3 linked regions of the Arabidopsis thaliana genome follow. The protein of the gene in region 1 interacts with the protein of each later gene in a pairwise test. Each region holds a gene or a part of one and is shown in the gene's direction. Other genes may lie near its edges.

What was found.
Region 2: the proteins of ESE3 (region 1) and AT5G58620 interact in a two-hybrid assay, tested with the Arabidopsis thaliana proteins (one large-scale study listed by BioGRID).
Region 3: the proteins of ESE3 (region 1) and AT1G20910 interact in a two-hybrid assay, tested with the Arabidopsis thaliana proteins (one large-scale study listed by BioGRID).

What each region holds. Positions count from the first base shown.
Region 1 is NC_003076.8:8,706,128-8,709,692, reverse strand, and holds ESE3 (Integrase-type DNA-binding superfamily protein), read left to right. Parts: upstream 1-1,807; 5' UTR 1,808-2,037; coding exon 2,038-2,120; intron 2,121-2,223; coding exon 2,224-2,686; 3' UTR 2,687-2,948; downstream 2,949-3,565.
Region 2 is NC_003076.8:23,691,413-23,696,828, forward strand, and holds AT5G58620 (zinc finger (CCCH-type) family protein), read left to right. Parts: upstream 1-1,846; 5' UTR 1,847-2,120; intron 2,121-2,504; 5' UTR 2,505-2,546; coding exon 2,547-4,370; 3' UTR 4,371-4,728; downstream 4,729-5,416. Other genes in the region: TRM31 (uncharacterized protein), read right to left, coding at 4,729-5,039, 5,116-5,416.
Region 3 is NC_003070.9:7,276,195-7,282,838, reverse strand, and holds AT1G20910 (ARID/BRIGHT DNA-binding domain-containing protein), read left to right. Parts: upstream 1-1,602; 5' UTR 1,603-1,860; intron 1,861-2,188; 5' UTR 2,189-2,203; coding exon 2,204-2,491; intron 2,492-2,624; coding exon 2,625-2,758; intron 2,759-2,843; coding exon 2,844-2,883; intron 2,884-3,252; coding exon 3,253-3,305; intron 3,306-3,401; coding exon 3,402-3,447; intron 3,448-3,705; coding exon 3,706-3,798; intron 3,799-4,240; coding exon 4,241-4,363; intron 4,364-4,518; coding exon 4,519-4,567; intron 4,568-4,644; coding exon 4,645-4,708; intron 4,709-4,878; coding exon 4,879-4,945; intron 4,946-5,056; coding exon 5,057-5,107; intron 5,108-5,349; coding exon 5,350-5,442; coding exon of another isoform or gene 5,443-5,520; exon of another isoform or gene 5,521-5,534; coding exon 5,535-5,630; 3' UTR 5,631-5,896; downstream 5,897-6,644.

The sequences.
Region 1 (3,565 bases):
ATATGTTAGACATATCAAAATTATTTTTGTTTAATTAAAATTACAGTTGTAGTAATGTTGTTATTTCAAAGGTACATATATATTTCCATTATGTAACTTGCTGATATTAGCATTCAGTACCATCCTTCTTTTACTACACCACCGAGAGAGATAAGTTACTTTCTTTTTTTTCGTTTTCTTATGGACATGGATGCAAATATACAGACAAAAAAAAGCATATGTTGAATAATTATTAGGGTTAAGAATGATTATTAGTAGGGTGAAAATGATCAATTATTTGATAAAAAGTTAATGACCTTCTCTAGTTGTTTTTCTTGTCGTCATAATTGCGGTCTAGGATTCTTTCATCAATTTGATACTGGATTGAACTAATAATATTTGGCACTTGTTATTTTGATGTATCCATTCTACCTACACACTCTTTTGCCCAACATATTCTTCTATTACCTCTTATTCCAATTATAATTGACTCTAAAAGGATATAGTCTCAATTGGAGATTATTTTTTTTTTAAATATGCGTGCGACTGAATATGATCGACATAACCTTTACTTTTATTTGATGAAACTTTGTCGAACAAAAGATAAATTGGCAAACAAAAACATCCATATATAAACCCAAATAAGAAGTGGTTACTATGTGACATTCCCTATACAATTAACATATACTACTATCTAAAAATTGTAGATAAGTTTATGCAATATTATACTAATTCCCTCTCCAAGTTTCAGTAATGGGCATAATCACATATTTATTAATTATTAAACCTATGTTTTTAATTGAAAAATAATGTATTAGAGTTTTTTTTTTAATAGGTCGCAGACTCGTAGGTAAACTGTACACTCAGAAATCATGGGTATGATGACAATACATTAAGGTTTGTTTCAATAATAACAATACAAAATAATATTAAAGAAGGGAAAAGAGAAGATGATAATCGAAGATGGTTTTGGGTGTTTGATTGAGTCATTATCAAAGGCTCACATGGGTGAAGAATGGTGATGAAAGAGTCTCGCTAGTTATCAAACTATATATTTTCCAATTATTTATCGTTATTATTAATTAGTTGGGGAAAAATTTGGCAGTATCTATGATATAGAGACATGTTGTGATGATCAAACCCATGTGAAAATAGGTACAGTGGGTTTGAAGTTTCACCGCAGCCAAATCTCTTTGGATCCAACTTGTTCACAATGGGAAAATTAAAATAATTGATAAATATATATGCTATATACGTAGGGTTGTTATTATATTTAGAGCTATTTATTAGTTTTATCTTAAAAATACCCCATAACTTAGGATATTATAACTATAATTGTCTAAGTATAATATGTGTAACTTGGGACAAAAGGAAAAGAAAAAGGTTTGGATTAAATTATCTTAGGTTTGATTTCTAAACCGTTTTAATTAATTTATATTTGTTGATAAAAAATTAGCTTTTGTTACAGAAATAAATTCATATGAAACTATTGAACATTTGTAATTTTGTATTCTAACAAAAACTGTGATAAGTTTGTTAATTCATAATTTAAATTCTATTTTAACTTTTAGATAAATTACGATAATACTTTCCAAAAAATATCTCTAAATAAAAAAAACACTTTTCCGACAGTTTAGCATGTAGTTTCGAAGCTTTCAATTTTCACTATAATATGTGACAGAATTAGATAATCCATTTGCCCATGTCGCAGCAACTTCGAATACAACAAATGAAGTAAATTTAAGAATACTTTAAGTTAAATAAATTAATATAACTCTCTCTCTCACATCAAACAAAATCCATGAGATTTTCTGAGTCGTATTGGTAATGGTGTGGGTCCAATTTAGGACCAAATTGATTGCCAGTTTATTGCCAAAGAAAATTTTAACACAAAAACATTTCTCTCTCTCATGAAGCTAAAGCCAACACTACTTATATAGCTACCCTTCACTCTTCCAAAAACGCTCCTTCACTCTCATCATTCTTTCTTCTTTCAAAACATTTCCACAAACACACCAAACTCACCTGAAACCCTATTTCCATTTACCATTCACACTAATGGCACGACCACAACAACGCTTTCGAGGCGTTAGACAGAGGCATTGGGGCTCTTGGGTCTCCGAAATTCGTCACCCTCTCTTGTAAAAACTCTCCCTCATCATCCTCTCAAATTACGAAATTACCCTCGGTCGCTTTTTATTTGAGTAATGCTAAACTTTTTTGTTTTTTTTTTGTTTTTTTTAGGAAAACAAGAATCTGGCTAGGGACGTTTGAGACAGCGGAGGATGCAGCAAGGGCCTACGACGAGGCGGCTAGGCTAATGTGTGGCCCGAGAGCTCGTACTAATTTCCCATACAACCCTAATGCCATTCCTACTTCCTCTTCCAAGCTTCTATCAGCAACTCTTACCGCTAAACTCCACAAATGCTACATGGCTTCTCTTCAAATGACCAAGCAAACGCAAACACAAACGCAAACGCAGACCGCAAGATCACAATCCGCGGACAGTGACGGTGTGACGGCTAACGAAAGTCATTTGAACAGAGGAGTAACGGAGACGACAGAGATCAAGTGGGAAGATGGAAATGCGAATATGCAACAGAATTTTAGGCCATTGGAGGAAGATCATATCGAGCAAATGATTGAGGAGCTGCTTCACTACGGTTCCATTGAGCTTTGCTCTGTTTTACCAACTCAGACGCTGTGAGAAATGGCCTTGTCGTTTTAGCGTATTCTTTTCATTTTTATTTTTGTTTCCACAAAAACGGCGTCGTAAGTGATGAGAGTAGTAGTGAGAGAAGGCTAATTTCAAGACATTTTGATCTGAATTGGCCTCTTTTGAAACACTGATTCTAGTTTCTATAAGAGCAATCGATCATATGCTATGTTATGTATAGTATTATAAAAAAATGTTATTTTCTGATTTTTCTCCATGTAAACCAATTGAACACTTGAAACCAAAAACTAAAAATTACACATGTGTTCGTGTGTGAAAAAGTGGGAATTTAATGTAGTGAAAAGATACAACAATGAGAAGAAAGATATCTAAAGTAGTGAAGAGAGATGAGAGTTTGAATATTTTGAGTTAGCTTTTGGTTTTGTTCCATGCATGTTCTAATTTTTCAACGGTGGGCCTTCATTTTTTTATTTTTATTTTTGGTAATTTGGGATTGCTGCTAAGTAGAAAAAGAGTGTCCCTAGCTGTGGCTTGACGACCATAAAATCCAACTTTTTAATTAGAGGGATTTGTGTTTTCTAGCACCTTATATTAAAATAGAAAAAATAATTTAGCTACATAAAATAGGTGTTTGACTGCAATTACTCTGTTTCCTTAGAACACTCTGTTCTTCGAACAGTCCAAACCTATTATTTATTTGTTTTGTTTGTAATGCGAATAAAAGGAAACTAGTGTTTTCCGACCACTACTTTAACTTTTGTAACAAAATATGATTTACATTTACTACCTTAAGGTTGAATACGAAAATAAAAATATTCTCTAGCAAAGAATGGAAAACATAACATGAGCAGGCTTTAATATATCCTTGACGATCGGTTGATTCTTCTTGCATACATATACGCGATAATA
Region 2 (5,416 bases), about 15 Mb from region 1:
GGACATTGATGTTGTTTTTTGGTTGATACACGCGAAAAGAGTGGAGATTTTTAATTTTGGTCAATTTGCACTATTTCCTAATTAAAAATCCAAAATTTACCCATTTCACCCTCTTATTTCTTTATTTCTTCTACTTTCGTACTATTAAAGCTTGCTCATCACTCTTTGACTTTGACTCTGTTTTTCACTCTTCTCAGATATAGCTCATGAATACGACATTCTTTCTTCGGATTCACCATATGACTTTTACTTGTGAAGATAGTAAGATACTATCTCATTAGTTACCAGTTCTTTTTATTTACGTCCATGAAGAAGAAATTGGCTTCCTTCTTTTAAATCAAGAAGATAGACTAATGGGCCAAACCTAGGTCTTTAATTATGGGCTTTGAAACAGATCATTATCCTCGTATAGCCCCGCATCGGTATTTCTGGCCCAGAAGTGCTTGGCGCCAAGTCGAAGAGAGATAATTCACTGCATTTAGGACCATAAAAGTCAATATGGTCTGTCCAATAAGGCTCTGCCATTTGGGGTTTTGTCGCAGCGACGTCGGCTGATAAAATAGCAAATAGCAATGCTTAGTCGCTTTCAGTTGGTCCCACATGCTTCTTATTCCATTCATTCTAGTCAGATTATGGATTCTTGTGGGTCCTTTTCCTAATTGTACACTTAGACTTTTCTACCTTTTTTCCCTTTTTATTTCGCTTTATATCAAAATTAACCTAACAATATATCTCATCGTGAATACAAGATCTTGACCGTCTGTTTTCAGCATTTTTCATACCATTGTCTTTTGAGTGACTGACTTATAACAAATTTTTAAATATTGATTTGACATTGGGAATCAACAGTGTTTATGTTAAGAAACAGGATATAATTATCTAAAAATTAATAATTTGTCGTGTATATATACAGTATTTGCACTATCATATTAATATTATGACTTTACTTATTTATTAGAACTGTAAATTAGAAGAAGAGAAAATAAATGGCTTTGTGTTATGATGTGAGAGAGAGCCAGTGGAGCAGCTTCGTTAATGCCGCTGCAAAAAGCATTGATGGGTTCGGTTGCATGCATTTGGATTTGGTCTGGTTGCAATACAAAACAGTAGTCGTTTTCAAAAAAATATTATTATACATTTGCAATTTATGACTACTTTTATATAGTAGTACAACATTGTCATGGATCACGAATCACTATCTTTTAATATAATAATACAAGCATAGCGACAGAAAATACAAAGTTTGGTAAGGTTTGTTCGAATTCTTTCCATTACCGAATTTAAATACACATTATTTTAGTCTCTTAGGATATTTGTATTACCTAATCGTCTTTTTGTTGGAATTGTCGACCGAAAAAAACTGAACATAAACGTCAATTTCTCGACTTTATAATAATTATCTCAATTATCTTTAAACTTTATGATAATTAATTTTGATGAATATAACTCAAATCAAAGCTATGACAAAAGAGAGTTGCTATCAAGCGAAACCCACTCGAGACGGTTCCGATTCTGTGTTTTGGTGCATGTTGAGATTATTCTGGGGCGGTGACAAACCAATTAAAAAGCTATGGTTAATTGGTTATATAACTCTAGGTAACAGGCAGTGGTTTTATCTTTAGCTCGTGAATGGAGAAGAAAAGTAAGTAGCTCATTTTAAAAACATGCTGACGATGCATGGTTTCCACGTCATCCCACCAAAAACCGGAAAAACGCGTGAAGCGTGACAAAACCGATGAGCGAAGATCCTCTGTGTGAAGTCTAACGTACACCTTCATTTCCTTCAGACTTTACAAATTAAAATTGAAAGTAAAATAAATAAATAGAAATAAAAAAGACGAGAGAGAAGTAGAAGAAGAATGATGGAGATGGTGGTTTTGTTTTATTATTTAGAGTAAGCTTCTTCATTTTTTTAAAAACTTCTATTATTTTGACCTTAAGAAGAAAGTGACAAGGAGAGGAAGAAGAAGAAAAAAAACATAATTTGAGGAAGAAGAAAAAAAATTCGGATTTGTTTTTTCAATAAATTGACTAATTGAGTACTCGTTTAAAGGAAGTGAAGAGCGGTTTTTTGGTAGTGGTGGTCGAGAAAAGAGAGAGTTTGTCTCTGTGACTCAGAGGTAGAAAATCTTTACTCTTTGTTTCTTTGATTTGATTAGTCACTAATTTAGTTTCAGTTGAATCCATATATGTCGATTTGTTTTAGAGTTTGCAGTTTGTTTTTAATTGTTTTGCTGATTGGAAAATGAGTTAACAATATGATTAGTTTTCGATGTTGCAAAAGTGGTTAATTATGGATCTGTTGGTGTTTATTTTTGGTTTGGTTTGTTTTAAAGTTGGAAACTTTGTATCCCAAACTAACAAACTCTTCCTTCTCTCCTTAGCTTAATCGTTTCTGCAGTTTTTATTTCTGTTTTGTATGATTTTGTTCTATGTATATTACCATTTTAATCAGAAGAAAAAAGATTCATCCTTTTCAATTTGTTCTGCAATTTTTTTTGCAGTGAAATCAATAGAGCGGGAAAAGATTGTTGCTTTTTTTTGCCATGGGAGTTGATGAGCTGTCTCACCTCAAATTCTCTCTTCTGCTAGAATCATCAGCCTGCAATGATTTGTCCGGTTTTAAGTCTCTAGTTGAAGAAGAAGGTCTTGAGAGCATTGATGGCTCTGGTTTGTGGTATGGGAGGAGATTAGGATCAAAGAAGATGGGTTTTGAGGAGAGGACGCCTCTTATGATTGCTGCCTTGTTTGGAAGCAAAGAGGTTGTTGATTACATCATTAGTACTGGTCTTGTTGACGTGAACCGCTCTTGTGGCTCTGATGGTGCCACGGCTCTTCACTGTGCGGTCTCTGGCTTGTCTGCCAATAGCCTTGAGATTGTTACTCTTCTGCTGAAGGGCTCTGCGAATCCGGATTCTTGTGATGCTTATGGTAACAAGCCTGGAGATGTGATTTTCCCTTGTTTGAGTCCGGTTTTTAGCGCGAGGATGAAGGTTTTGGAGCGTTTGTTGAAAGGAAATGATGATTTGAATGAAGTTAATGGGCAAGAAGAAAGCGAGCCAGAGGTTGAGGTTGAGGTTGAGGTTTCGCCTCCTCGGGGGTCTGAGAGGAAGGAGTATCCGGTTGATCCAACGCTTCCTGATATCAAGAACGGTGTATATGGGACGGATGAGTTCCGGATGTATGCTTTCAAGATCAAGCCGTGCTCTAGAGCATACTCTCACGACTGGACGGAATGTCCCTTTGTTCATCCGGGTGAGAACGCAAGGAGGCGTGATCCGAGGAAGTACCATTATAGTTGTGTCCCTTGTCCTGAATTCCGGAAGGGGTCTTGTTCCAGAGGTGATACTTGCGAGTATGCTCATGGTATCTTTGAGTGCTGGCTTCACCCGGCTCAGTACCGGACTCGTCTCTGCAAGGACGAGACGAATTGCTCGAGAAGAGTTTGTTTCTTTGCCCACAAACCCGAGGAGCTGCGTCCTTTGTACCCTTCAACTGGATCAGGTGTTCCGTCCCCGCGGTCTTCCTTCTCATCTTGCAATTCCTCGACCGCTTTCGACATGGGACCGATTAGTCCGCTTCCTATCGGAGCAACAACCACACCTCCTTTGAGTCCTAACGGTGTATCCTCTCCAATAGGTGGAGGAAAAACGTGGATGAACTGGCCTAACATAACCCCTCCTGCATTGCAGCTTCCAGGGAGCAGATTGAAATCTGCATTGAATGCAAGAGAAATCGATTTCTCTGAAGAGATGCAAAGTCTTACTTCTCCAACTACATGGAACAACACGCCAATGTCATCTCCATTCTCCGGAAAGGGCATGAACAGGCTTGCAGGAGGAGCAATGAGCCCGGTGAATAGTCTCAGTGATATGTTTGGGACAGAGGATAATACATCGGGTTTGCAGATCCGACGCAGCGTCATTAACCCGCAGCTGCATTCCAACAGTCTTTCTTCATCACCTGTGGGAGCCAATTCTCTGTTTTCGATGGATTCCTCCGCAGTCTTGGCTTCAAGAGCGGCTGAATTTGCTAAACAGCGAAGCCAAAGCTTCATAGAACGCAACAACGGACTGAATCACCATCCCGCAATCTCTTCCATGACTACAACTTGTTTAAACGATTGGGGCTCATTGGATGGGAAGCTTGACTGGAGCGTCCAAGGAGACGAGCTACAGAAGCTCAGAAAATCCACTTCTTTCCGTCTCAGAGCCGGTGGCATGGAATCAAGACTGCCTAACGAAGGGACTGGGCTCGAAGAGCCAGATGTCTCATGGGTGGAGCCGCTGGTGAAAGAGCCACAGGAGACAAGACTAGCTCCGGTTTGGATGGAGCAATCATACATGGAGACAGAACAGACCGTGGCTTGAATCAAAAGTTTTGAACTTTCATTAACCGTTCCACAAGAAGCAAAGTCAGAAAGATTCCGAGAGGTCGATGCTAATCTATTTCATTTTATTTGTTTAATGCTTTGTTATTTTTCTTTAGAATAAAAAGAAAAAATTCTTAGGGGACAAAAGAGAGTTCGTTTGTCTCTCTCTCTGTCTCCAAAGAAAAACAGAGGTGAAAAAAGGTTTCAAAACCTAAGAAACCTTGAATTACCTCACCTCACTTCCTTGATTCTTTACTATTCACAATGAGTAATCGATTTTTTTTTTTCTTGGTAACACTCTCACGCTGAATATATATGTTTTTTAGTAATAATATAATTGGAATACAGAAATGTATTTACACTTGTGAAGTTAGGGAAAGTGTTGTAATTGTTTCTTCTAAGAGTTGATCTAAGATGTTTGAGACTATATCTTCGCTTATGATTCCTTCTATATCTTCGAGCTTTAAAGCTTTTCCGTTAAACCAATCTGAACCTTCAAGGTCAGATACAGTGAGTTTGCAGATCATGAGCCACATCTCTTGGTAGCCATGAAGTCGGATTTCTTGGTCTTTTGATCTACTTGTCAATGTGATGTGATCTTGTTCAATCGTTTCATTGAGCTTACTAGATTCAAGTTCTGAAGACAACCGTCTTCTTGAAATGTTTCCTGTTACAAGGAAACAAGTATGCTTTAATAACACAAGAAAGGACATTTCAATTTTCAATACTGAAGAATTACCAACCTGGTGATGGAGTTACTCGAACACCAGCATACCGGTCATAATCAAGAACCGAGACAGGGCTCGAATCATCGCAGCTTCCACACTCTTCTTCTTCTTTTGTTGATCTCACTTCACAATTTACTAAATCTTCTTCTTTGGACCAACAACCATTACTTTGGACCCAATTCTCCTTCTCGATGTTCTGTCTCAACTTAGTTTCTTTTCGTTTTCTTCTGCTCTTACGTTTCTCCTTTCTACGCTGCATCAGTTCTCCAATCTCAAGCCTCTCACGTCCTGGTGAAACGTTCATGGCATTGATGTT
Region 3 (6,644 bases), on another chromosome or scaffold:
ATAAATCAAGTTTCATGCTCATTCGTAATCGAAATCATTTTGGTCCTTTTTATAGTATGGCTCTTGACCATTGTCCAATTTTTTTAAGCGATATAGAACATTCTAAAATCGTAATTATTATCCACCCAAACCCGTCCTACCATATAATCCAGTCCCGTGAAATTAAACATAATTTTGTCATTTTCTTATAAATTTCAATATTATAAAATTTGAAACTTAAAAAAATACAATATCGACCCAATTTTTAAGATTTTTCCTGTAATATATCATCTCGTATTAATATATTTTTTCTATATTTGTAATGTTTAAATTTCTTGTAAAATTCAATTTATAATTTTTAAAACTTTATAAGTTTTAAAATTATAAATATTTAAAGCATTTTTTAAAGATAAACTTTATAAAAAGTTTTTAAAATTATAATATTTAACATTTGATAAAGTTATAATATTTATAATTTTTTGAAACATTTTAAAGTTTTAATTCTTTAAAATAAAAAATCCGAGTAAAATCGGATAACTATTTTAATTTTGGACGCCTGATAAATCAAGCTTCATGCTCATTCATAATCAGAATCATTTTGGTCCTTTTATAATATGGGTCTGAACCATTGTCCAATTTTTCTAAGCGATGTTGGACATTGTACACATATTATTTCTTCATAGGTTGAATAATATATGTCCGTTTTAAAAAATTTGAATTACATCATATTCAGAAAAAAATATAATATTTTATTAACTATATATATTTTATATAAATTCAAAATAAATAAAGTATAAGATCAAATAAAATTGAAAGAAGAATTATATATTTATGTTTAAATTAGGTAGAAATATTTTAGGAAATTAGTTAAGGTAAATAAGAAATATGGTTAGTTTAGAGATATTGTTTATATTAAATTTGGTAATTAAATCATTAATTTTCGTTTTTAATTATTAGTTTTTAGGTAACTTTTCCAAAAACTAATGTTATCCAAGATCAGAACTGAATTAAACATGTTATCCAGGATCTGAACAGAGTTAAGCCGAGTAAAACCCACCCATTTGAATTAATTGTTGAATTATGGCTCAAATCTTCAACATTATCTTCAAAAATCCCCTCCAAACATGTATATATAGATATTTCCATTATGATATAGTTTTCACATCTTAACTCCAAATCATGAAACCTAAATTTTATTTCCAAGTCTCAACATCATATATTTTAATTATCATCTTGAACTTCTTGTTAAAAATATAAAATTAATTCATAAACTTTTCTATAAACCTAAGTTTTTTAATATTTTTTGTATCGTATTTATACTAATTTCGATCTTCTTTGTTTCCTCCGTAATCGTTGTCGTAATTTCGTAAACCTAAATTTCATATAGCTCCTTTCTTCTATGTATATATGTTTTGTACAATGTTTCATATATATAATAACACCCTTTGGCAAAAAAAAAAAAAAAACTTTTTCAATGTTTATCTTTCGTGGTTATTACATATAGTAGAAATCCCAACATTCAACAACAATAAAAGGTTACAAATCCTATATTTACCAAAAATTAAGAAAGTCTAAAAAGACTAATAGATACAAAAAGAAGAAAAGAAATTGTTTACTTTTTGAGTGTAAAACAAATTAAAGTTAAAAACCACATAACATCCCCCATCCCATCTTTTTTACTAATACCTTCCTCCATTAACATAAGATTGTCTCTCCTCTTTCGAATTGTCTCTCCTTTTTCAGCTCTCTCTCTGTATCTCCTTCTTCTTCTTCTTCCTCCAGCTTCTTTCAATTTCTCCGGCTGCTAAACCCTAGCGCGCCGTCGGAGTCCCTGCGTTCTCATACCAACCTTTACTCGCCGTCGCCGTCGCTGCAGAACTGGTAAGCATATGTTTTTTTTTGCTGCTCTCTGTATTCTATGGAAGCTGAAAGGTCTTCTCGGCTTGTTTATCTGTGGTAGTTTTGATTAGGATGAGGTTTTGTAGTAATAGAGTGAGTGAGTTTGCTCCAATTCTTAATTGCGTTTAGAGATAGAAGAGAGAGAGAGAGAGAAGCTATAGTTTCCAGGCGGAGAAGAAAGACAATTCCTTTTTGTTTAATCTGGAATCACCAATAGTTAGTTATATACAGTTTTTTTATCTTCTTCGTTTTTTTCTTCTGGATTTGTTCTTTTGTCCTTGTCTTGCTGTGACTGACTACTCCACAACAGAAATCGAAGCTTAAGATGGTGGATACCGAAATGCAAGAGCAAGATGTGACTTTTGGTGCCCTTGTTGAGACAAAGTATTTAGAGGAAGAACCTTTGGAGCCAGAAAATGATCACAACCCTAGTGAAATCCCGCAGCCCCTTCTTCTTGGAGATGGTCAGGCTAATAATGGTCATGGCATGAATGGTGGTGCTGTTGGAGTTGTTGACCACTCTGAAAGGAAGACTCGTAGGGTGCAAATGTTGAGTCCTAAGACTGAAGGTGAGAATGCCAAAAAGAGGAAGACTTGGCTGCTGGATTCTGAGGTACTAGGCTATGTTTCTTTCAATTTGGCTCAAAAAGCCTGTGTCTTTTTGTTTTCTCAGGATTGGATTTCACTGTTTTGTGGTCGAAAATTATGTGGTGATTGTTCACTTACTGGTTCACCTTTCTCTACAGGCACAGGGAACTGATGAAGCAGGGACACCGGTAGAACAAGTGGCGTTTCTAAGAGAAGTGGAGGCCTTTTACAAAGAGAGTTTCCTGGAATTTAAACCTCCTAAGTTTTATGGACAGCCTTTAAACATTCTCAAGTGAGTTGTTGGAAAAGTGGTGCTTTTGTTCTTAATAAACCCATATATCTGGTTAATCAGTGCCTCACTTTTGCATCCAATGTAGGCTTTGGCGAGCAGTCGTGAACCTAGGTGGCTATGAAGTGGTAATTATCCAAAACCATATCGTTTTTAGTTCGTCAGTTTATAAGTCTTGGTTATTTAAGTTGGCCCGTATGATTATCACCTACATTTTATTGTTTGAATTGTGGATGGCATATGAACTGTATATAGGGTATAACTATTGAATCCGTAAGCTAATTTATGATAAGAGTATCTATAACGATGTGGCTTTCAGAGAAGATTTATGACTTTAAGCGAACATATCAAACATTAAAGAATGTTCGATATTTTCTTGGGAAACTGATTTATTTTACTGTTGTTAGCTATATTTGGAATTATATATTCAATGTTTTCTTAATCTTCTGCTGGACTTATGGTCTTTAAGATTCCTTTGTTTTTTCATGGTAATGTAGGTCACCACAAATAAGCTGTGGCGGCAAGTTGGAGAATCCTTCAATCCTCCCAAGTATGGCTGATATTTTCCTTAGACTCTCCGTTAGTCTTTACCAATTTTTCATAATGCTAATCTTTTTCCACATTTGGTTAAACTATCTTTATTCAGGACATGCACAACAGTCTCCTACACATTCCGCAATTTCTATGAGAAGGTGAGTTTGTTTTTGTGCATAAGTATCGTATATTTATCCTGTCTTCATTTTTACTTATCCACTTCAGACAATTCTCCTTGTGCTTCTTCTTAGTATGGTGTGTTATAATAGTTAGTTTAATTCTTTGTCTTGCTGAGGTAGCTCTTTATTTTGGACTATTCTTTTGTCACTTCGAAGTTTGAATGCACTGCTTGTTTTCTTTCTATCTTATCATATAGATACAGGTACATATGATCTATATCTTTGCTTCAATTGCAGGCACTTTTGGAGTACGAAAAGTGTTTAAGGAATAATGGTGAGCTTAACCTTCCTGGTTCAACATTGATTCTGTCTTCCAGTGTCGAGAAAGAGGTATGAATTTCCCCTAAAAAAATGGCTTTTGGATTTTAGACACTACTGAATAATATATAGAAATAATGGTAGATATGGAAAGTTTGGATGAAGATCGATCTAGCACCGTAAAATTAATGAAGAGTATCTACTTGTCAATTTATTGTGGGAAGGTTTCATGTACTGTGATTAAATGTCGTTGATACTGAAGAAATGATAGCATAAGAGTTATTTTTCAGCATTTATGTAATACCAGCTAAACCTTTTAAACCCAACTATCTGCAATCTGACTGAAGAAAGCTGTAGCCATTTTGTGTTCGATACAAAAGCCATAAGAAATCCGTGTGCATAACCCAGTAAATTACCATATAAGTTGCAGAAAACCTAAACGAAAATTCATGTGCCTCCCTTTTTTTCCCTTCTCCATATTTTTTTCTTCCCTGATACAAGGACTTTGCTGTAGCCAAGTAGCCATCAAGGTTCAGGGTCAGGCAGGGCACGAAGAGATTCTGCAGCTCGTGCTATGCAAGGTTGGCATGCGCAGCGCCTTGTTGGATCTGGAGAGGTTACTGCGCCTGCTGTTAAGGTTTCACTTCAAATCTTACTGCACTTTGTGATTCCATTATGCAGAATTTTTTCATGCACCAAGGAATCTGACTCACATGTAGAAAGAAGAAGACTTTTTATTTCTTTTGTCGTTTTTTATTTCGGAAGTAAAATGATGTTCTCCTTTTGTTTCAGGATAAGGGCTTAATTTCCACCCCAAAGCACAAGAAACTCAAAAGCATTGGTACAAAATAGTTCTCAAGGCTTTGCTATTTTGTCAACGAGGGTTGCTTAACGTTATGTTTTAAACGGTTTTTTCAGGGCTGCAAAAACACAAACAACAAACTAGCATGGACCATGTTGTTACAAATGAAGCTGACAAACAGTTACGGAAAGCTGATCTCTCCTTCTTATTTGCAATTCTAAGATAGTTATATTAGTTTTTTGGTTCTTCTTTCAATGCCTCTTAGCAGTAATGAGATGAAAACGTAGCATTTTCTGGACCTGAACATATTACTATAGATTAACGTTAAGGTTTCCTTTTTGTCATGATAGGTTGGCTGCTGAGGTTGTTGATGTTGGACCCGTTGCTGACTGGGTGAAGATAAATGTCAAAGAATCTGTGAGTAACTTCTGCCAACGGCTAAAGAAACGCCAAAAACTTGCAAACTGGATGTTTGTTTCCAATATGGAATTCTTACCAAATCTGTTTTCCTTTTTCTTGAATTCACAGAAGGATTCCTTCGAGATATTTGCCTTGGTACCTGGACTTCTTCGCAAAGAGGTGAGCACTCCTTTGTAACCCTGTCTCTGAAGGCTACTTGATAAGTCCTTGTCTTTTAATTTTGTTTGAATGCATATTACTGTGACAATACAAAGCAAGCACAAAGCGATTTGGTAGGTTACCAAAGCAGATCCGTTGGCTTTAGTTTCATAGTCTCAGTACACAGTGTTGTAGGCAATAAGTATTTTCTGGTAAAATCAGTACATAGTTCCAATTACTGAACATACGTTGTCTTTTCTCAGGTTCGAATTCAATCAGATCCTGCGGGAAAGGTGGTTATAACAGGCCAGCCAGAGCAGCTTGACAATCCTTGGGGGATTACACCCTTCAAAAAGGTAAAACTTTCTTCTATATTCCAGATATGTCCATTAACTGAACTGATACAGAGACTGAGAACCTTCCTGTCATTTTGATATGTTTTCACCAGATTGTTGACTTATCAGCAAGAATTGATCCGCTTCACACATCCGCGGTCATGAGCATGCATGGACGGTTGTTCATACGAGTTCCGTTTGAGCAGTAATGGATTTCAAGAGAGCTGGTCAGTTGTTCGTGGTTTCTTCTAGGAATTCATATGTTTCAGAACCAAATTGTTAGGCGGCTGAAGCAGTTTTGTAACTGTGATTTGAATCTGAAGACTGAAGTTAGGAACATGCAACAAACATTTGATCTTACTGTAATATTTCTCTTTTGTATAATTTGAGATTAGTAGGAGAAACTGCTCCAAAGACATTTAGGATGCAACCAACAATGATGATTTTGATCTAAAATCGGAATGTTATGCTTTTCTTATACATATTTTTTTAATAGAGATGAATAGATTTGCCTATCCCATCTACTAGTTCTACTTCCAATAGTATACTTTTAGGTTCTCATGCGTTTCGGTTTTCAAAAGTTCTCCTGAGATGATTTGTTTTCAAAAAGTGAAAGTGAAAGTATGCATATATTGGTGGTGCATATTATTAAAGGGAAAACGAAAACAGCAAAAAACTTATTGACATTTCCCTGAATCTAAAAAGTTCATGATCGGGAATATATGATTTAGAAAAGAAAAAAAGGTTCATTACTTGTTTATATATATATATATATATGTATCATCAATTCATGACGAAAATTTAAGGTTCAAAAGTTTTGAAGCTCACTCTAGTTTTTGAGTCATCAGAAAATACTGCAGTATTAAGACAAGAAACATTATTCTCAACTTGTTTTCTTTCTCTTTAATCATGCAAAAAGGTTCACACTTCACAGTGATCAAAAAAGGTTTTTTATTGCTGATTCTCAACTTGGTGTAGCTCAATTGCATGTAAGGCACATGACATGACCGCATGGGAATTTGATAATATTTACAACTACAATGCTCTTTCTCCAAGCCCCCAAAAAAAAGTCATATGATTCCAAGTATATGTATTGATTCTAATTTATATTTTATATATTTTGGCAAAGCTAAAACGTTTTTTACTAAGAGACATCTGATCACTATAATATTTAGCTAAGAACTGTAGATTGTGACTTGTGAAATTAATCTGCAATTTGTTCC